3 linked regions of the Struthio camelus genome follow. The protein of the gene in region 2 purifies or fractionates together with the protein of the main gene of each other region. This does not show direct contact. Links are inferred from orthologs where the notes say so. Each region holds a gene or a part of one and is shown on either strand. Other genes may lie near its edges.

Evidence for each region. Proteins that work in one complex are often made in the same cells at the same time.
Region 1: the proteins of PAGR1 (region 2) and KMT2C purify together in Homo sapiens (affinity purification with mass spectrometry; 3 studies listed by BioGRID and IntAct, with this or other methods). This does not show direct contact. The link is inferred for Struthio camelus from reciprocal best matches to the Homo sapiens genes PAGR1 and KMT2C.
Region 3: the proteins of PAGR1 (region 2) and PAXIP1 purify together in Homo sapiens (affinity purification with mass spectrometry; 6 studies listed by BioGRID and IntAct, with this or other methods). This does not show direct contact. The link is inferred for Struthio camelus from reciprocal best matches to the Homo sapiens genes PAGR1 and PAXIP1.

Annotation. Positions count from the first base shown.
Region 1 is NC_090943.1:8,562,017-8,568,909, forward strand, and holds the start of KMT2C (histone-lysine N-methyltransferase 2C), read right to left. Parts: upstream 3,008-6,893; 5' UTR 2,984-3,007; intron 2,225-2,983; exon of another isoform or gene 2,148-2,224; coding exon of another isoform or gene 2,010-2,147; intron 1,981-2,009; 5' UTR 1,980-1,980; coding exon 1,801-1,979; intron 1-1,800. Other genes in the region: uncharacterized protein, read left to right, coding at 2,010-2,147. UniProt on the Homo sapiens protein: Histone methyltransferase that catalyzes methyl group transfer from S-adenosyl-L-methionine to the epsilon-amino group of 'Lys-4' of histone H3 (H3K4).
Region 2 is NC_090973.1:652,087-659,193, reverse strand, and holds PAGR1 (PAXIP1-associated glutamate-rich protein 1), read left to right. Parts: upstream 1-4,100; 5' UTR 4,101-4,893; intron 4,894-5,219; exon of another isoform or gene 5,220-5,507; intron 5,508-5,755; 5' UTR 5,756-5,758; coding exon 5,759-6,204; intron 6,205-6,295; coding exon 6,296-6,378; intron 6,379-6,498; coding exon 6,499-6,686; 3' UTR 6,687-6,721; downstream 6,722-7,107. Other genes in the region: SEZ6L2 (seizure 6-like protein 2), read left to right, coding at 2,123-2,314, 2,410-2,448, 3,406-3,523, 3,796-3,898, 4,043-4,072; HIRIP3 (HIRA-interacting protein 3), read right to left, coding at 6,795-6,937, 7,025-7,107. UniProt on the Homo sapiens protein: Its association with the histone methyltransferase MLL2/MLL3 complex is suggesting a role in epigenetic transcriptional activation. However, in association with PAXIP1/PTIP is proposed to function at least in part independently of the MLL2/MLL3 complex.
Region 3 is NC_090943.1:9,729,875-9,737,637, forward strand, and holds the start of PAXIP1 (PAX-interacting protein 1), read right to left. Parts: upstream 3,008-7,763; 5' UTR 2,881-3,007; coding exon 2,794-2,880; intron 1-2,793.

The sequences.
Region 1 (6,893 bases), on a different chromosome or scaffold from region 2:
GAAAATTTGCATTAAGCAAAAAAATAAGGTTTTTGAAGGGGGGAGCTGTGAATGAGCCTCTCCACCAAAACCAGAGGGTAAACATTAGAATGTTTCAAGGGAAACTCTCATCAATAAGAACAAAAATCATTCAGATATCCCTAACTCACGATAGTTCTGTCTTGGAATATTTATGCAGCATAAACATGTAGCAGCACTTCAAGTTGCAATAGAGAAAAATATTTTCTTTACGTGTGTTTATTTCCTGCACAGCAGGACTCCTTTCCAGTGTTTTGTCATTCTACAGTGAAACCCAGAAAGCCGCTGAGCCGCTTGGGGTGGGCATTTAACCAAGTGCCAGCAACTCACCTGTTTAAATAGACTCGACCGACGTCAAACTGAGAGCGCCGCTTTAAAACAAAGAGAAACAAACTCGAAAACCCCGCGGCTGCAACCAATTCTACAACGCACAGACTTCCTATGTTGCTGAAAACTGTGATGTTTCTTCTCAAAAGGCGTTAGCCTCCTTCGGTCCTGTCACCGCCTCCAGAAGCTACGCCACCCTACGCAGGAACAACCCGAAGGGAGTACACGGCGTACAGGCGCGGCACTTCCACTGCTGCGGGCATCAGGCCTTCTCACCACCGCCCGACACGACACCCAACTCCTATCAGCGTTGAAACAAACACACGCGCCGTTTCACCCATGTCTCTTAGCCTTTTGGTGCGTCAAAAATCGGGCTTGGGCACCGCCGCGCTCTTCGCACCGGCTCTACCGAAACTTCGGCATGCCCAACACCAAGGGATCCGCGCTTGACCTGCCCCCCCCCCCTTACTGCCTGCGCTGCCGCCGCCGCCCGGCCCAGAGACGAGCACGAAGCGCCCGGGGTCCCCGCGCGGCCGTTGGGGCGCCCGCCGCGGCCGTTGGGGCTAACGGTCGCCCGCGGCGCGGGCGCGCCCACATCCCCCCCACCCCTCGCCGCCGGCCTGCGGGGCACTGCCCGGGCTGTGCCCAGCCTGGCGGCGGCGAAAGGAAATCCGCCACAGCACAGGAGGAGGAGGAGGAGGAGGAGGCGGCGGCAGCCCCCACCCCCCTCCCCCGGTGTTTGTTGTGCTTCGCCACTGGGCAGCCTCGCCGTCCCAGCGGCGCGGCCGGCCGCGTCCCTGGGCGAGAGGCCGCTTGACAGCTCCCCTCAGCGCCGTCAGCCTCCCTCCACCTCCGAGCACACCGCCAGGCGGAGGCGAAGAAAGTCCTGCCTAAACTTTGTGTGTGTGCGCGTCCGCACCCGTGTGTGTTGGGGGGGGGGGGGCTGGTTTTCATAGCCATCCACTTAGGGCAAGAACCATCGTTTCTTTCTCTTTCTTTAAAAAAAAAAAAGAAGAGGGGCAGGTGGAAACAGCGACGAGCTGCCATCGAGTAAAAGAATATTCAGACGACGCTGAAGGCAGCCGAGCGTCCTGGAGGAGGAGAGACCCGAAAAGGAGAAGGGGGAAGGTGCAAAGGAAGGGGGGGGGGGAAAGGGAGGAAGAGAGGGGGGAAGAGCTAAAGAGAAACTCCAAAGAAAGAGGAAAAGAAAAGGCGCAGGGACGGTAAAAGAAAAGTGAGAAGGGAAAAACAGGCGGAGGAAGACAAAGGTGAAAAAGGAGGAGGAGGGGAAAGTGCAAAGGGGAGAGGAGGAGAAGAAAGAAGGCCCCTTCTCAAAATGGCACTAGGCAGGAGGGAGGGGGCGACGAGCCGGCAGGCCGTGCTGACAGCTCTGCCTGCGCCCGGCTGCCGGCCCCCTGCCCCTCTCTGCCTCGCACACACAAGCGCTGAACTTACTTCTTTCTGGCTCTCTGGAAAGGGGAAGCGCCATCTTTGCGAGGCCGGCCCCTAGGTCTTTTGTCTGTGGCTGCCGCTGCCGCCGCTGCTGCTGGGGGGGGAGCTCCCGGCTCGGGGGGTTGCTGTTGCTGAGGCGGCTCCGCCACCGCCACCACCAGACTCTTGTCCTCCGTTGACATCCTAGTCAGCAGGACGAGAGAGACACATGGATGATGATGATGATGAAGATGAGGATGGTGATGGGGATCCCGATGCTCCTCCTGCTCCCGCGGCTCCTCGCCTCCTCACCTCCGCCTCCTCCACCTCCGCCGCGCATTGCTGGCCTCAGCCGCCGCCGACCAGCACAGGTAGCAGGGGGAGCAGCATGGGGAGAGCGGCAGGAGGCGGGCGGGCGGGCGGGCGGGCGGGGGGGGGGGGGAAGAGAAGAGCGAGAGCGCGGAGTGGAGGGAGGGAGAGAGGGAGGGAGGGAGGAAGGAAGGGTCTCACACACAATAACACCCCCCTCCGCGGCTCGGCGGGGTCCGCCGGGGCCGGGGGTAGGCGGCGGGGGAGGTGAAGAGAGCGAGCGAGCCGAGAGGCGGCTAATCCCGCCGCTGGGCGCCCCCCTCTCAGAGGCCCCGGGAGCTGGCGGCGGCTCCGGCTGCGGCGCTGCCCGGCTGCGGCGGCGGCCGCCGCTTCATTGTACACTGGCCCTGCGCCCTCCCCCCGCGCAGAGCCCCCGGGGGCGGAGGAGGAGCAGGCGGCGGCGGCGGAGGCGGCGGCGGCGGCAGGGGCCGAGGCAAGAGCGGAGGAAGTTTTGACAGCTCCAGCTGTTGTGTGTGTCGAGGGCTGAGTCCGGCCGGGCTCCGCGTCCCCTTCCCAGCCGGGCCGGGAGCAGGAAGTTTAACTTTGGGGAAAGAAGGAGGAGGAAGGGTGAAAAAGGGGGAGGAGGAAGACGGCGGAGGAGGAGGAGGAGGAGGAGGGAGGAGGAGAAAGCTTCCCTCCCCGCGGGGCGGGGTGGGGAAGGGATCCCGGCGCGGCCGCCGCTGCCCTGCTGTGTAACCCCCCCCCCCCCCCCCCGCGCCGCCAGTGCGACACACAGACAGACAGACAGACAGACAGACAGGCCGGCCGCCCTCCCTCCCCCGCGCCGGGCCCCACACTGCGCCTGCCCGGCCCGCCGCCCCGCGCCGCCGCCACTGACCTCACGGGCTGGCTGCCGCGGCCGGCTGCGCCCAAAGCGCGGAGCCGCGGAGCGCGGACGGGACGGCGAGGCCGGGGAAGGGAGGTGAAGGGGGCGGGTGGGGGGGGGCGGGCTCGGCCGCGCGGCTCTCCCCCCCCCCCCGCCCTGACCGTTTTTATTTCTCGTCCCCGTGGGGAGGGGGAAAAAAAAAAAAGAACGATTTAAAAAAAATCCCGACGAGCCCCGCAGCCGGGGTCCCCCGGGCGGGCAGCCGCCCCCGCGCTGTGCCGCCGGCGGCTCTCGCCCCTCCCCAGCGGAGGCGACGGGGAGAGGAGCGGGGGGTGAGGGTGAGGGGGGGGCGGCGGCCCCGGCTCGGCGCGCCGGGGGGAGACAAAGTCTGCGGAGGCCGGAGCGGGCGGGCGGGCGGGGGCCCAGCTGGCCGCCTGCCCGCCCGGCCGGGCCGGGCCGCGCCGCGGGGCGGGGTTCGCCTCGTTACCCGGCGGTTAACGTGGCCCGCAGCCCGCCGCGCCTCGGCTCGGCTCGGCTCGGCTCGGCTCGGCTCGGCTCGGCTCGGGGGGGCCGGGCGCGCCCCCGGACTTTCCTCCCGGCTGCTGGCCGGGCGCCGCCGGCAGCAGCGGCGCGGAGGGAGGTCGCCGCCCCGCCCTGCGGGGGAGCCCCGCGGCGCTGCGCTGCGCTGCGCGGGGCGCGCGTGCTCCTTTCCGCAGCCGGCGGGTCGCGCAGAGCGCGCGGCCGCGCTGCCGGGGAGGCTCCCGGCAGCTGCGACCCAGCTGCCCCGCGCTATGGCACCCCCCCTCCCTATGGAAGTGCTTGCTGTTGGCATCGCAGCTGCTGATGAAAACGGCCTAAGGTGGCACGCAGGTACCGCCGGGAAAGTTGGGAGAAGTTACCGTTCATCACCTCCCTCGACCTAAAAATAAACGCGGGGCAAAGCGGGCCTTTTCGCTGTTCTCCCCCCCTTCCTCCCCGACCCCTCAGAATTTTAGCTTGTCCTCTTCGGAAACACCGCGTTAAAAATTGCACGCGCTGCCAGCTACGGCTTGTGGCTGGACTGTTTTCCTGGGAGCCGTTTCATCACAAGAAGAAAGTCTCCGTTGTTTCACTTCCTGGCTTCGTGGGAAATTAAATTACATCTTTGTGACGTTCGTAATAAGGACTGCTACCTGTCTGTATTTGGAGATACAGGTAAAACGTATAGCTCCATCAATCCATACGCACACACATGCACGTGTGAAGGTACATTCATATGTATATAAAGACATCGCTTTTGCCCAAGCGTGCAAAGATGACAGGGACCAGCTGGATTGCTGACGTGACTCCTTTGGCCCTGTCACTGAACACGTACTCATTTCTGCCCAATTGAAAAAATAGCTGCGCGCTAAATGTTTGCATTACAAAGTCTCCAAATGACTGCAAAGGTGTGCCGCTCGCAGGACTTCAGATGCAGGAACCTTTCTGTTTATGCACTGCCTAACACAGAAGAAAGTACCTTGAACTTTGTGAAACTCGGGCCAGTTAGCGTAACTGAACCCAAAGCGTTGGGTACCGCACGGGCCCAGGCTTGGCTGGAGCAGAGGGGCGGCAGAGGAAGGGGGAGTGACCGGCCGAGGCCTTCGCCAGGGTTGCCAGGTTGCCATCTGGTCTGCTAACAAAAAAAAAAAAAAAAGGCCATCACCTGAAATAATTACCGTGCATGTGCCGATCTGCTGCGCGCGCGGTGGCTGGGACGAGTCTAGGATGTGTCAGAGCCACCGCGCACGTGCACATCGAGCCGCGCGTAGACATGTGAGGATGCCCTGGGCTCGGATCAGCCGTGGGTGGAAAAGCGCTGTCGCGCCCCACAGCAGAAAGACTCGGTGAAATCACTAGGTTCGCTTGTCCGCACGTGGTTCATCCAGTCCTCCGAGGTAAACACCGCTTAACACCTCTCAATTAACCCTCGGTAGCTGAGTTTGGGGCTTTGCCTTTTATGCAAAGGGAGGTGCGGGTTTAACTATGCGTGTGTGACGTCCTTCCTGGTTGTGTTTTGTACTGATGTTGTTGTCACAACGTAAAATCCTAGTGGAGGCAGGGCGAAATTCGTTTCGGTGTAGCGAGGCTGCTGAGGGACTTAGGCCCATCAGTTACATTACCGCGCGCTACCTCCGGCTACATGTCCGAACAAAGCTAGGCAGGTCTGCTCTGTAAACTGCTGCTGCCATTGCTGTGGCAATCAAAGGTGTGGAGAGGTACGTAGGATTGAAATGCGCTTGTGAACAGCGAGCCGAAGTGGAGGTACGATTGCGGGAAACGGTTTTTGCTAGCGTTGTTTGTATTACTCAATGAAGGCAGGGGGACAAGCCAGGAGAAGTTGTGCCACCGAGCGTGACCCCAGGGTAGGAGTGCCTTGCTGATGGGGGATGCTTCAGCAGCTCTGGCAGGAAAACTTTCACGTTTATGTCTGGCCGAGGCTACCCACCTCATTATAAATTGTCTCTTTCTGAAAAACACACGTTTTTATAGCAAAGACACAGCATTAGATGAACAGGTCCTGTAAGTACCATTGTATCGTGATACCACCGAAGCAGTCTGTGTAACAGAAATACTAAGAAATAAGGTGATTCCTGATCCTATCTGCGGTGGGATCCAGATACTTTCTCTTTTACGACGTTAGTCCAGAACCCTGCCGGTTAACGATCGTTCGCTAAGTTGTAGAAATAAATGAAAAGTCTAGGTTTTGTTCTCTTTGGACGTGTTTCTGCGTTGCAGAAACGATCGAGCTACCACAAAGACTTCATTTAGTAAACGACGTCGGCAGCACGTTAACCGTTTAAATGTCTGGTGCATTGCAACACTTTGGCTTTAACCAGGGCGAAGCTGCTAACAGTACGCTGCAGTCGACACCTGCTCGCTCCGGTCTGCTGCTCTGAGCCCTGGGGAAGGCCTGGTGCTGGGCACATCCCATTGAACTATCCCCGCTGCAAGAGCGGCCAGCTGCAGCGGCAAGGTGCGGGGGGGAGCTGGGCGTCCTCAGCACATCAGGCGCCCGCTGTACTCTGCTGCACGGGCGTGAGTATTCACCGAAGCAGTTCAGAAATAGCTGGGTTTTTTTCTTTCTATATTAAGAAAACCCGAGATAATTTTAAAGAGTTATAGACGGGACCTAAAGCAAGTGGCAAAATCAGGATTACGTCATACAAATACGCGACTCCCAGTTTTTTTGTACTAAACGTGGCTGAACAACAAAAAAAAAATAGTTAGCATAAGCTAACGAACGTGTTGTGGAAGTCTAGTTTTAAACCTGAAATATTTGTTTCTCCTTTTCATCCGTTTTGCTTACTTGTCATCTCGTAGCTCTGACTCTCGTCAGGCAGCAGCACAGCCTGGATGTTGGGTACGACATAGCCTCGAGCAGCGCTGACTTTCCCGGCGGTTTGGTGGGACGCTCGCTGCTGGGGCTAGCCCTCGCTTCTTGTCCGGAGCAGCGTTCCCGGCCAGCTGGAGAGTTTCAGCCATCGGGCGCTCCGGAGCGACGGACGCGTAGCGTAAGCTCAGCGTACCTGCTCTTTTTGGAGGCAGCACGGTTCACGGTCGTTGAGAAAAAAAAGTTTAAAAAGTTAAAACGTTTCGGCTCTTGGTTTTCTCACCTGCTTTCCAGCACGAGATATCAGGACTCGCGTTCTGCAACAGCTGCTCCCCGCACAAACTACTCTGGGATATGTGTATGGACATGGGCTAATACGGTCGTGCCCGAGGCCAGGCGCCCCGTCCCCTGCCTGCTTTAGCTTGATTAGTTTAGTATGTGTTAAAGGCAGCCTTGCCTGCGCTGTGATGTATGTGCTAACATCACACCTTTACACCTTCGCCTCGCCAAAGCCTAAGGCCTTTTCATCATATTAAGCTACTTTGGCTGGGCTGATGTGGCTGAGAAACA
Region 2 (7,107 bases):
GCTCCCAGAGGGTTCCAGGAGGTCCCAGGGCCACCTTTTGTGCTCCCAGAGGTTCCCAGAGCCAACTCTTGGGGTTCCCAGAAGATCCCAGAGCCACCTTTTGTGCTCCCAGAGGGTTTCAGGAGGTCCCAGAGCCACCTTTTGTGCTCCCAGAGGTTCCCAGAGCCAACTCTTGGGGTTCCCAGAAGATCCCAGAGCCACCTTTTGTGCTCCCAGAGGGTTCCAGGAGGTCCCAGGGCCACCTTTTGTGCTCCCAGAGGTTCCCAGAGCCAACTCTTGGGGTTCCCAGAAGATCCCAGAGCCACCTTTTGTGCTCCCAGAGGGTTCCAGGAGGTCCCAGAGCCACCTTTTGTGCTCCCAGAGGTTCCCAGAGCCAACTTTTGGGGTTCCAGGAGATCCCAGAGCCACCTTTTGTGGTCCCAGAGGGTTCCAGGAGGTCCCAGAGCCACCTTTTGTGCTCCCAGAGGTTCCCAGAGCCAACTCTTGGGGTTCCCAGAAGATCCCAGGGCCACCTTTTGTGGTCCCAGAGGGTTCCAGGAGGTCCCAGAGCCACCTTTTGTGCTCCCAGAGGTTCCCAGAGCCAACTCTTGGGGTTCCCAGAAGATCCCAGGGCCACCTTTTGTGCTCCCAGAGGGTTCCAGGAGGTCCCAGAGCCACCTTTTGTGGTCCCAGAGGGTTTCAGGAGGTCCCAGGGCCACCTTTTGTGCTCCCAGAGGGTCCCAGAGCCAACTCTTGGGGTTCCCAGAAGATCCCAGAGCCACCTTTTGTGGTCCCAGAGGGTTCCAGGAGGTCCCAGAGCCACCTTTTGTGCTCCCAGAGGGTTCCAGGAGGTCCCAGAGCCACCTTTTGTGCTCCCAGAGGTTCCCAGAGCCAACTCTTGGGGTTCCCAGAAGATCCCAGAGCCACCTTTTGTGCTCCCAGAGGGTTCCAGGAGGTCCCAGGGCCACCTTTTGTGCTCCCAGAGGTTCCCAGAGCCAACTCTTGGGGTTCCCAGAAGATCCCAGAGCCACCTTTTGTGCTCCCAGAGGGTTCCAGGAGGTCCCAGAGCCACCTTTTGTGCTCCCAGAGGTTCCCAGAGCCAACTCTTGGGGTTCCCAGAAGATCCCAGAGCCACCTTTTGTGCTCCCAGAGGGTTCCAGGAGGTCCCAGAGCCACCTTTTGTGCTCCCAGAGGGTCCCAGAAGATCCCAGAGCCACCTTTTGTGCTCCCAGAGGGTTCCAGGAGGTCCCAGAGCCACCTTTTGTGCTCCCAGAGGGTTCCAGGAGGTCCCAGAGCCACCTTTTGTGGTCCCAGAGGTTCCCAGAGCCAACTCTTGGGGTTCCCAGAAGATCCCAGGGCCACCTTTTGTGGTCCCAGAGGGTTCCAGGAGGTCCCAGAGCCACCTTTTGTGCTCCCAGAGGGTTCCAGGAGGTCCCAGAGCCACCTTTTGTGCTCCCAGAGGTTCCCAGAGCCAACTCTTGGGGTTCCCAGAAGATCCCAGAGCCACCTTTTGTGCTCCCAGAGGGTTCCAGGAGGTCCCAGGGCCACCTTTTGTGCTCCCAGAGGTTCCCAGAGCCAACTCTTGGGGTTCCCAGAAGATCCCAGAGCCACCTTTTGTGCTCCCAGAGGGTTCCAGGAGGTCCCAGAGCCACCTTTTGTGCTCCCAGAGGTTCCCAGAGCCAACTCTTGGGGTTCCCAGAAGATCCCAGAGCCACCTTTTGTGCTCCCAGAGGGTTCCAGGAGGTCCCAGGGCCACCTTTTGTGCTCCCAGAGGTTCCCAGAGCCAACTCTTGGGGTTCCCAGAAGATCCCAGAGCCACCTTTTGTGCTCCCAGAGGGTTCCAGGAGGTCCCAGAGCCACCTTTTGTGCTCCCAGAGGTTCCCAGAGCCAACTCTTGGGGTTCCCAGAAGATCCCAGAGCCACCTTTTGTGCTCCCAGAGGGTTCCAGGAGGTCCCAGAGCCACCTTTTGTGCTCCCAGAGGGTCCCAGAAGATCCCAGGGCCACCTTTTGTGGTCCCAGAGGGTTCCAGGAGGTCCCAGAGCCACCTTTTGTGCTCCCAGAGGGGGGTCTCAGGAGGTTCCCCACCCCGCCCCGGGGCTCGGCGCGGGACGGGCAGTGACGGCCGCGCGCGGGTGCCCGCAGTGAAGTACGAGCCGTGCCTGAACCCCGGCGTGCCGGCCAACGGCTACCAGACGCTCTACAAGCACCACTACCAGGCGGGCGAGTCGTTGCGCTTCTTCTGCTACGAGGGCTACGAGCTGCTGGGCGAGGTGACCATCACCTGCCTGCCCGGGCGGCCCTCGCGCTGGACCAGCCAGCCCCCGCTCTGCAAAGGTAGGGGACCCCCCCCACCCCACCCCACCTGCCCCACGGCGTCGCCCCCCCCCCCACGGCCGGCCCCGCTCACTGCCCTCCCCGCGTCTCCGCAGTGGCCTACCCCGAATATCTGGAGGAGCGGCGTCTCCAGGGTGAGACCTCCCCCCCCCACCCCCCTCCAACCCGCCGCGCTATGGGGCAGGGGGTGTGAGGGTTCTGGGGTGGAGGTATAGGGGGTATGGGGAGCTCTGGGGCAGGGGGTATGGGAGTTATGGGGTGGGGGTATAGGGCTATGGGGGGTTATGGGGTGGGGGTATGGGAGTTATGGGGTGGGGGTTTGGGGGGCTATGGGGCAGGGGTTATAGGAGTTATGAGGTGGGGGTATGGGGGGCTATGGGGCAGGGGTTATAGGAGTTATGGGGTGGGGGTATGGGGGGCTATGGGGCAGGGGTTATAGGAGTTATGGGGTGGGGGTATGGGGGGCTATGGGGCAGGGGTTATAGGAGTTATGGGGTGGGGGTATGGGGGGCTATGGGGCAGGGGTTATAGGAGTTATGGGGTGGGGGTATGGGGGCTATGGGGTGGGGGTATGAGAGTTATGGGGTGGGGATATGGGGGCTATGGGGCAGGGGTTATAGGAGTTATGGGGTGGGGATATGGGGGGCTATGGGGCAGGGGATATGAGGGGCTATAGGGTGGGGGATATGGGGCGTCTATGGGGAAAGGGTAAGGGAGTTATGGGGCAGGGGGATTGGGGAATGGAGGGCTATGGGGTAGGAGGGTATGGGGGAATGGGGGAGCTATGGGGCAAAGGGTAGGAGGGTGGGGGGCTATGGGGCGGGGGGTCTGGGGTGCTATGGGGCAGTATAGCGGGTATGGGAAGGGTGTGGGGCAGGGAGGTATGGGGGGGGCTATGGGGCAGGAGAGGACAATGGGCCATAGGGTGGCTATGGGGGGGGTTATGGGGCGCTATGGGGGGGGGTTGGGGGGGGCGGAGCTCCCGCCGCTGCTATAGGGCGGCAGGGGGAGGAGAGCAGAACACCACGTGGTGCAGTGCTGACGTCACCGCCCCCCCCCCCCCGCCGCCGCCGCGGCCATTGGCCGCGCAGTCACGCAGACGGCGGACCCCTCCCGCCAGCTGGAGGGCGGCAACATCGCCCTGGCCGTCTTCCTGCCCATCATCCTCGTCCTCCTGCTGATTGGCGGGATCTACGTCTACTACACCAAGTGAGCCAATCGGCGCCCCGGGGGCGGGACCCGCCGCGGCGCGGCGCTCTTAAAAGGGCAACGCCGGGTGGGGCCCACCGCCCCACCACCGCGTCTTAAAGCGGCGATGAGGGACAGGTCTTAAAGGGGCCGCGTCGCAATTTCGTTGTTTTGCCTGGAAGGAGGGGAGGAGGTGGTTGTGGGCGGCCCCATGGCAGGGTGTGGGGGGGGGGAAGGAGGGAGGGGGCAGGGTTGGCCTCACTGCCCCCATCCCCAACGTGTCTCTGCCCCAGGTTTCAGGGCAAGTCCCTGTTCGGCTTCTCCTTCTCCAGCTCCCACAGCTACAGCCCCATCACGGTGGAGAGCGACTTCAACAACCCCCTCTACGAGGCCGGGGTGAGCCTGCGACCCCCCCCAATCCATTCCTTGGGTATGGGGGGCTAGCCACGCCCCCTCCCATTGGCCACGCCCCCATTTGGGGTGGGCGGAGCCATAGCCTCACCCCCCCACCACCACCACCACTTCTCTCCCACCCCACAGGACACCAGGGAGTACGAAGTCTCCATCTGAAGGCCACGCGGACCCCCCCCCCGCAACCTGGGGGGAGGTGGTGGGGCAGGATCTGGCCCCCTCCCCCAGCGGGGGGGGGGTGATGGGTGCCTCCGTCGTCCCACAATGCCTTGCTTCCCCCCTCCCCAGCTCTGCAAACATCCACCTGCTAATGGTGACCCCCCCCCCTCCACCCAGCTCCCACCCTGCGAGCTTCTCCCCACCGGCCGGGACTATTTATTTAATTTATTTAATTAATTTATATATTTATTGGGATAAGCAGCGGGTGTCAGCGAGGTTTGGGAGGGGGAGACCCCCCCCCCCACCTCACCGAGACACTCAGTCCGCCCCTTTAAGGTCACCAGATGGGAAGATCCCTTTAAGGCGATCATTCTGCCTGGAGGACGTTTATTACCACTGCGGCCCCTTTAAGGGTTATATTGGGCGGGGTGCGGGGGGGGGGGGAAAGGAAGGGACACTTCGCCTTTAAGGTGCCAAATGCCGGAGGACACAAATTCACCCAACCCATCCCTTTAAGACCATTCGAGGGGGTGGGGGGGGTGAATTCAGGCCTTGCTCCGCCCACTTTGGGGAGGAGCCGCCGCCAGGCCACGCCCCCCGCACGCTCCATGTGCCAAACGCCCCCCCCACCTCCAAACACACACTCGCCCCGTTTTGGGTTCATTTGCTTGGGATTTGGAGCAATAAAACGACTCAATAAACGGCGCCGTTTCTAAGGCCGCCTCCGCCTCCGTCTGCGCCTGCGCCGCCCGAGGGGGGGGACCGCCCCCCCCCGCTCCACGCGTCACCGCGCTCCGACCAATCGGCGGCCGCGGCAGGCGGTGAGGCGCGCACGCGCGGTCGAGAGGGGATGTGGGGGGGGGAGAGAGAGAGAGAGAGAGAGAGAGAGAGAGAGAGAGAGAGAGAGAGAGAGAGAGGAGAGGCGCGCATGCGCATTCGCGGCGGAGGGGGGTGCCTCTTTCCGAGGGGCAGAATAGGCCTGTTGCGCACGCGCGTCTCCGCTAGCGCGCATGCGCGCAGCTGTCGGACCAACGCAGCGCATGCGCAAGACTCCTGGGGGGGGGGAGAGGCGCAGCTCCCTCCCCGCGCATGCGCTTTCCTCATCACCCCCCCCCCCGCGCGCATGCGCACCTCTCGAGGAACAACGCGGCGCATGGGCGCTGCTGCGGAGGGCGGGAGGGAAAGCAGCGGGGCTCCCGCCCCGCGCATGCGCGCGCCACTTGGCCCCGCCCCCTCCGCGCATGCGCAGCAGGGAAGGGGGGGAGGAAGCGGGAAAAGGAAAAAGGCGGGAGGGCGCACAAAATGGCGGCGGGGCGCCAGTGAGGGGAGGCCGCGGCGGGCCGGGGTCAGCGGGGTGGGGGGGCCCTGAGAGCCCCTTTGCCGGCACCATCCCGCCCCCGGCAGTGCCGGAGACGGCCCCCCTCCCCCCGTCAGGGTGAGCAGGGCGCGGGGCCCCTCGCTGCCGCCATGGCGCGGGGCTGGGCGTCGGGCCTCGACATGGCCACCCCTCGGCGGGGGAGGGAGCGCGCCGCTCCGTGTGGCGGTGACAGGGCGGCGTCGCCCGCGCCGCTGTGACCGGGCCGGGTGGGGAAGGGGGCTGCTTTTGTCACCTTTTTAGGGTGTTATCGGCTGAGGGAGCGTCCGACTTGGTCTCGTGTTTCCCCCCCCCCCCATTCTTTTCAGGAAATGATGGAGGCCACGGCGGAGGAAGACGGCGAGGTGACTTCGGGGCTCCAGTCCCTCGCCGTGGAGGACACGGCCGAGCCGGAGCGGGCTCCGACGCCGGCTGAGGCGGAGAGCGAGGCGCCGGCGGAGCTCCCCGAAGGAGGGACCGAGGCCGCGGCCCCCGAAGCCGCGGCAGAGGAGGAGGAGGAGGAAGAAGGGGAGGCGGCGGCGCCGGCGGAGGAGGGCGAGTGGGGGGTGCCCTGCAGCGACGAGGAGCTGGAGGGCGCCGACGCCTGGATGCCGGCCCCCGAGGAGATCCGCCGCCTCTACGAGCTCATCGCCGAGAAGGGCACGCTGGAGCTGCGGGCCGAGCCGCTGCCCCGGCGGGCCCCCACGCCCGAGCCCGACAGCGAGGAGGAGCGCCGCTCCGACGGGCAGCCCGAGAGCGAGGAGGAGGAGGAGGAGAAGTGAGGAAGGGCGAGAGGGCTTCCCGGCTCCGCCGGCGACGAAGCGCGCGTTGCGGGGGACGCCGGGCTGACGCTTTTTTCTCTCTCCCAGGCCTCGCGTCCCCACCGAGTTCGACTTCGACGACGAGCCGGTGACGCCCAAGAGCTCCCTCATCGACCGCCGCAGGACGCCGGGTAAGGAGGAGGCGGGAGGGCGCAGGCGGCCGCCGTCCCCTCGCCGCCCTCCGCAGGCGTTCGGCCCCCCCCCTTCCTTTGTCCTCCCCCTTTCCTAAATAGCGCCCCCCCCCTCCGCAGGCGCCTCGTCGCGGAGCCAGAAGCGGGAAGCGCGGCTGGACAAGGTGCTGTCGGACATGAAGCGGCACAAGAAGCTGGAGGAGCAGATCCTGCGCACGGGCCGGGACCTGTTCGAGCTGGAGGGCGCCGAGGCGGCGCCGGCGCCCAAACGCCCGCCGGGGCTCTTCCTGCGCCAGCGCAAGTACTGAGCGGCTCCCGCCGCAAACACGGGCGGGGGAAAGCCGCTGAATCCCGCCGTCTTTTTATTTCGTGCCGGGGGGGGGAGAGGGGGTTGGATTTGGGGGAAGGGGGCAGGTTCAATCGCTGTCGCCGTCGGAGCTGATGACGCCGCGGAGGCGCGACCAGTCCACGGGCGGGCGCCGGGGCGGCCCCTCGTCTTCCTCCGGGGGCGGCCGGGGGGCGTTGTAGAGGCTCCAGACGTTGCGCCGTCGGGGCCGGCCTGGCCGAGGGGAAGGGGGAGATGAAGCGGGAGGGCGAGGGGGCGCCGGGGGGGGGGGGCTGCCCCACACGCGCCGCCCCCGCTTACCCCCCGAGTCGATGATGTTGGCCGTGTCCAGCGCGGCCAGCTCCGCCGCCTCCTCCCGCCGCTGCTTCAGCGCCCGGCACCGG
Region 3 (7,763 bases), on a different chromosome or scaffold from region 2:
TATCCAGAAACCAAATCTCACGTTCGAAGTCCTCGTTGCACAATATTATTTTACTCTCTGCGTATTTTACTCTCTTTGCCTATTTTTAGTAGCGTTATCTTACCATGACGATTGTAGTTTACATCTGTCAGGAAAATAAAGCATTTATTAAAAAAAAAAAAAAAAAAAAAGATGACATCTCGTCACCACCTCCAGTGAGGTGTGAACAGGCAAGTGCACATCTCAGTGGAACAGATTCAAATTTGAGAGCCAGAAGCCTAATTTTCCACCAGTTGCCAAAGAATATCTAGGCACAATTCCAAACTTTTGTTTCCCTTCTAGTTCATGCTGCAAATATTTTAAATAGGTAGTAGGTACGTAGCTATTCACCGGAATGGATTATATTTTGTTCTTGTTATTGGATTAGTTTCATTAAAATCCTCATTTTTGCTAGGCCTGTTTTAATATTGATTCGGATGTCTAGCCTTCAATGAAAACATTTGGAAACTTAAGCTGATCAGAGTATGCTCATCCCCAAAAGATAAGCATAAAGATGAAAAAGATGAAATAGGAAGCTTCTTTTTGAAAGTAAGCTAGTATCCACTTGTATATAAATAAGCAAATAATTTTGAAAATATCTGTATTCTTATAATACTAATGGATAAATATTTCAGTATAGAAACTATTTTTTTTAAATGTGTAGAATTTAATTTAGATTTTCTCCTTTCTGTCCTGGTTAAAAACACAACACGTAAATAGCCTGCTTGTTCATTTTTTCCCTAGGGTACCACAGAGGGTACTTGTGAGAAGCAGTGAAAAGTTCCTAAGTGGAACTTGCCCAAGTTCAGTAAAACCCACTTCTGATTAGCTTTGGTTGTGATGGTGCTGAATCAAATCCAGACAGGACTCTCACAGAACCACAACCTGCACTCCCCAGTGCCTGATGTTCCTGAGGGCTCATGAGCTCAGGCACCAGTGCTGAGAAGTCCTGACATCCATTTAACCCTATGCCAAAGCACTAAGCCATTTCAGCATCCAGAGCTCAGGAGGAAAGAGTGCAAACTGACCAGCAGGCTGTTTACAGAAACAACTCAGACCCATCGGACTTTTCAATTTGGCCATCATACACAGAAAGAAAGTGGTTAAAAGTCTTCCAGCATGACCTGAAGCAGCGGTAGCCACTATGGTGTAGCGCTATGCCTAAGCTTACACAGTCTGCCAGAGCCACCTTAGCTGTCTATCTACAACACAGAAATGTCATCCACTAATACATGAGAACTGAGTGTACCTAATTTAGAACACATTAAGGCTTGACAACAACGAAGTTAACTGCTAAGCAAGATAAAATTTATCTTAAGAAAAAAAAACTAGCAAAAGAGAATGATTGCTTACTGGCTCTATGGGAATACTGCTGATTGTCTTGCTACGTCAACACAAAACTAACTACATGCCTTTTGGGACACCATACATATGATATAGAAGAGAGTCCTGTTGTTTTCTGCACTCATCTTTGTACATATAATAATACTGCTGCTATACCTTCTTAAAAATGTATAGTGTTATTCAAGCTCTCATACATTTTCAAATAGCTAATGTCTAAAGGCTGTGGGTTTTTTCTACTCTTCAACTACATTACCAGTCTTTATTTAACATATAATCCTATTAACGTGAAAACACAAAAAAACATTTAAATAGGTCAATGTCTATGTCCCGAGTTTGTTTAAACACCCATAAGTGGAAAAAAACATGAGATGAAAGGAATCTGATACTGAACAAATGGTAGACTACAGCAACTACCAAAAGAGTCAAGACTTAAATTTCAGTATCAAATGCACAGGAATCTGTTAGCATGAAGTTGCTGTCCTAAAGCTAGATATGGCACACTTCAAACACTTGTCTAATTGGACATGCCGAGGAAACTTTGTTGGCACTTCCATCCAGCAGAACTGGATGTTACCACAGGCCAGCCCTGACATCCAGGCTACTGCCCTAGGTGCTAGGGCTGGAAGGTCATCTGACAGCAGCTTAGGGGAGCACGAGGCAGGGAAGATCATGTCGTGACCACATCAGGATCTCTGTCCGTCCAATGGGCCTGAGAGATCCGGGGACAGGCAGCGGAGCCACGGGGGTCCTGCACTGTGCTCCTGGGACACAAGGAGGAGGGCGGAGACCGAGCGGGCAGGCACGGGCGAGCGGGGAGGGAAGTGACAGCGAAGCCTTCGTTTGCCGAGCCTCCCCCCGCCACCCAGGCGCCGGGCCGGCCTGTCACTGCCCCCGTCCTGCACCGGCCACAGCCAGGGGCGCGGGGCCCAGCCGGGGCCGGCACGGCGAGAGGCTGCCTGCCGCCCCCCGCCCGGCGCTGCGGTCGGGTCCGCCGAGGGCCGCACGGCTCCACGGGCGGGCCAGGCCCGGGGCCGAGGAGCGGCCCCGTCTCCAACAGGAAGTCCCTTCGCCCGCCCCTCCTCCGCTCAGGCGGCTACGGGGCCTGCGCGCCGGGGCCGCTGGCTCCCATGGCGGGTCGCGGCGCGGCTGGCCGCGGGCACGGCCGTTACTGGCCGTTATGGCTCCCCCGCGGCGGGGGCGGGGGCGGGGGTGGGGGGGCGCTGGGAGGGAGGGAGGGAGGGCGCGCGCGCGCGCTCGGCCCCCGCCCCTCCCGCGGGGGAGCGCGGCGCGTGCGGCGGCGGCGCGCGAGCCTCGAGCCCGCGCGGTGAAGTGCTGGGGGGGGGGGGGGGGGGAGAGAAGAGGAGCAGGAGGAGCCCATGCTGCCCCCCCCGGGGGGGGGGGAACGGAGTTGAGGAGAGGGTGACCCGGTACCTTGGGGTCGATGTCTCCCACCGCGAAGAACTTGACATCTTTGAACATCTCCTCGGGGACTTTCAGCTCCTCCTCGTCCGCCGACATGGTCCCGGCCGAGGCCGCCGTCACGCGCGCCCCCCCCTTCGCCCCCTCCCCAATATCCCCCGCGCGCACTGTGCAGAGCCGCCGGGGCCCGGGTCTCCCGTCCCCTCCCCCCGCCGAGCCGCCGAACCGCGCGAGCAAGGCGCGCGCTGCGGGACACACCATCCCCCGCCGGGACGCAGGGGGGGCCGAGGGGGGAGGGGAGAGCCGCCGGGACAAAGCGGCTCCCCCCGCCCGATCAGCCACCCCGGCTGTTGCAGGACTAGGCCCGCTCCTCTTCCACGGACGCTATCTCCGCTCTTGCCCCGCTTTCCGAACCGCACCAGAAGCCAGCCTCCGGGCCCGCGGCTCCCCCCCCGTACGGAACGCAATGGACTCGCCCCGAACGACAGAGGCGGGCAGCGGGGATTCCCGGACCCGCCCATTAGCAAACAGGCGAGGGAGGGGGGGAAGAGGAGAAGGGAGCGCTCCGCCCTCGAGCCCCGCCCCCAAGCGCAGGCCCCGCCTCCCCCGCCGCGCCCCTGGGGACCGTTACCCGCCCGCCGCCCCGCCCCCCCCTCCCCCCCCCCCGCCGCCCCTCGCCGCCCTCAGGGCGCTCGGGCGGGAAGCGGCCGCGGGCGGCGGCGGCGCTGGGGGGCGGCCCGCTCCCCCCGTCACACGGCGGCCTGAAACTCCTTCCCGCCCCGGCGACGCCTGCCTGGCACCTGGCAGCACAGCGCCCCGGGCCCTGCGCTAGGCCTTGCGTGGCTCAGGAGGGCCCCGCTGAGGCTGGAGCGCGCTCCCCGTTTCCAAAACCCTGGTGACAGCCAAAAAGCACTTGTGCGACTCCCGTTTTCTTCATGATACCAGGCTTTCGTCTCTGTTCTTCAGGGGAAATCAAGCAACCGCCCGTGACTAACCCCACTGCAAGCTGTGACAACGTTTCTGTACTGCACGTGTCCTACTACGTTCTGCGCTTTATTCTGATTTCAAACCATTCCTTCAGTCGGTCGAGAACCTTCCAAAATTCAGTCCTGTCCCAAAATGTTGTTACCTCTCCCCGCTGGCAGCCCTCTGCAAATTTAATAGGCGTACTAGGTATTCCGGCATCCTACTCATTAATGAAAGTACTGATTACTACCAAAATCAGACGTTCTCCCTTAGAAGCCTGCTCAAAACATCTTCTACCATGATACTAAACCACTGAAACCTAAAGGAGGATTCATCTTACCTGACTCCGGAAAACTGCTCAGAAAACTGAAACAATCACCTTAAATTCCCTTTACAGTCAAGAGAGAGGAAAAAAGCACTTTAGACCCTGATTCGCTGACATATTTTAAATATCTGTGTATTGTCCGGTAAATCCTGCCCCTACGCTAACTGTGCTTTCCGAAGGAGTTTGGACCCCTCATATTAATCTTGTGCAGACGATGTTTCTCTGCCGTACTTCAGAGCAGTGTTACGGAGACGACATCCAAAGGGTGCAAGAAAATACAGGACAGCTACTTCTCGTCTCCTGTCCACAGAGCCTGTTGCACTTCCCCAGGGGAAAATTAGATTTATTGAACTAATTTTGAATGAGCAGAACCATCTGCTTTTGAACATCAGTTTTATCCCCTTCATGCAATTATTCACACTCTTATCTCACTTTCCATCTTTCCTAACGACTCACTCTTGTTTAGATCATTTTCTTCTACCCCAAGTATGTTCCTGGACTGCCTTTGAAAAACGCTTCTCTGAACCTCACCTTTCTCTATAACTGCCGTCCAGGCCTCCCAAGTCTGGCTTCTGCTTTCATCTTACATAATTTCCACCTTCTTCAGCTCCATTTTTGATCCGTTTTGGCTTCTTCCCACTAAATTAGAACTACTTTGACCAAAAACTTCATGCACCTAATTTTCCTTATTCTTCTCAAACCATCTGTAAAGCATTAACACTATTGCTTACTGAGTTTTCTTTCCTTTTGGATTCCAGTATCTCTGTACTTATCTGTATTTTCCAGCACTGGTTGTTCTCACTTCTTTTCTTTTACAAGTATCAGTGTCTCTCAGGTTTCTGTTCTCTGTTCCAATTTTTCCTCTATGTATTCTTTTCTCTTCATGGTGTCATTCATTACCTGCCTTCATCATCTTTCTCAAATATGATTGCTAAATTGTCCCTCCTCCCATGAGTACTTCCCTTATATCTAATTTCATTTGCCATTGCATATTCCCACTCCACACTAAAAAAAACAGAGTTATCTGTCCTCTTGATTCCTCTCTTCAGTCTGTCTTCTTTGCTACTGCAAACATTTTCCCCTAGCCTTTCTATCCCTTGGGCTTACCATATGCACATTATTTTTAGTTCTTTGCACAACACAAAGATTACAAATATTTCAAAGCAGGCGTTATGTTTATACCGACAAAGAAGCATAGTGCAAACAAACGGCACTTTGAACATGATTTTTAATAATAATGCCCTTTCCCAAACCTTCTGCTCAAATTGTGCTATTGAGGCATTACGTTGGGCCTCTTTGATCTTCTGTTGAGTCAGCTATTCAAATCACAAGAATATGAGATAAATTTGGTACTTAAAATCCCATCAGTTTGACAGTCCTCTACAGCATATCAGATGTTAGCTGTGCAAGGTCGGAGCACTGCACATTTAAGTCACTGAAAACCATTGCAAAAGCAGTTTTCAGCAAAAATATGCTTGTTAATAACGTGTCAATCTGAACCAGAACTGTACTTTTTCACCCATTATGATAAAAATCCAAGAATGAGGTTTAATTCCACTTACAGTATGGAAGTGTAATGCAATGTAAACAGAGAATTTAAGAATTCACTAAAATAGCTTTGCAAAAAGAAATCTGTTTTATAACTTCAGTCTCAAAAAAACCCAAAGTTTAAAACAGAAAACTGTCATTCAGTAAACAGAATTTCTCCTAAAATGTAATATATATTTTTTCTACTTCTGACGCTTTCAGAATAACCAATTGATATATTTGAAAAAACACCTAGCATATTCAGAATGAGGAAAATTTTCTCATCAAGTTGTAAAAACCAGAAATAAAAGGTTTTCCCCCTAAAGTGAGAGACTTCTATAATCGAAACATTAAATGTATGTGCTTGCTGTGTCCTGCTTACACTGAAGTTCATGACAAAGCAGTACTTAGCATTAATCGCTCAAATTGGCCTCACAGCTTTTGACTAGTGTAGCAGCATACATTTTGGCATGCTATTTTGCAATGTCAATTGGCTTTTATGCTTATAATAAATCTTTGAATGCCATCAAACTTAAAGCATAAGAGGGTACAGTTTCTATTATTTTTTTCTAAAGAATCAGCTTTCCAATCTTCTGTATCATTAATTCGAATTTCTTGTTTCTAAACTAGCCAAGTAAGTTTTTTTCCCATAAAAGTCAAATGAGAACTCCTCTTTTCCTGAGGGGCAGAATCATGCTACCAGTTGGAGAATATCTGTGCCAACTGCAGTGTAGGAGACAGCATATTTTTGCTTAGTGGTTAAGCAGAAGTAGACATAGTATGACATACATTTAAAAAGAGACTTTAAAACCCCGTCAGAACTTTTTTTTTTCCAATTTCATACATTAGGTTCTCTGACTTAACAGACTTTTAGAGAGCTAATTTATAGCATTGCGTGAATCCATTTCTGAGACAAGTCACAGTAGACCCTGTTAAGTCCTCTTGAAGATGGAATATAGATACACATGCATACTTTGCAGACAGATATGTGGAAAGTTCTGGAAGTTATTTAAACTGAATTCACTGAAATTACATAGAGATAGTGATTTAAACATGTTTAAAATAAATAGACTGAAATTTTTATGGGATCTTTTACAGTTTTTTATCCCGTTTTGTATGTAGAGTGTTGCAAATTAAGAGTAAAGCAGCAGAAGCTAATGAACAAATCAAATTGCACTGTTAAAAATATACTTCTCTAAGAACTTCTGCCATCCTTCTTTCACTAACTAAACTTTACACATTCCTCCTACTTCCCTCAAAATCACTTTAATAACAAAAAGGTCATTTCTACCTACCTCCACCCAGACAGTTATTTTGTTTTGCTGTAGGTTTATTTGGTATCAATATTTCTGCCAAAGCTATTAAAGACTTGGAAATTGTTCGACAAAACTAGCTTCATGTTTCATTCTGATAGTTCAACCTCTTGCCCAGATTCTTAATTCAAACGTAGGACTCGGTCCTGTGAAGTTGTAGGTCAGATTATATCTACTTCTACTGAGGATGGATTAGGGACTGGGTCAAAAAGAAAGACTTAGATAGTGCAGTCTCAGTGAGGCAGTGCCTGTGCGCTTTGGACGTGCATTTGCTTTGCAAAAGGCTGGAGTGGTTTAAAAATTACTGCTCTCAATTTGCTTGTCACTGCCTTCTCTGAGCTCAAGTAGCTGTCAGGTAGGCAACTAGCTGTGCAGCACAGTCAAAGCATGTGCATTGCTGCACGTACCATGAGACAACGCACAGAAACACGCATACAGAAAGCTTTCCTGGTAGACTTTTAGACACCTAAAAGGTTTAGTGGCCCCTGAGAAGTAGTTTCGTATATCTGAATTTTGGACTTTTCATCACTTAGAGTGGCTGTTGGGTTATCAGCAGTGATATTAATCTTCTTACATATAAGTATCTCGTGTTTTTTCCACATTTTTGTTGGCTTCAAGATGACCACTCACAGGAGCATATACTACTCGCATAGCTAAACACGTATAATTCTTCCCTGCAGTTAGCTTCTAAATATGCAGAGTAATTAAATTAATGAACCCATCTTTTACTTCTGTATATATATGTAATGAGTCATCTGTCAACAAGTTATTTAATTTCTAGTAATTAGACTACTTCTAACAAAAATGAATAATTCCAATTTCTGCATTGTGTGTGCGTGATCTAGTTTATG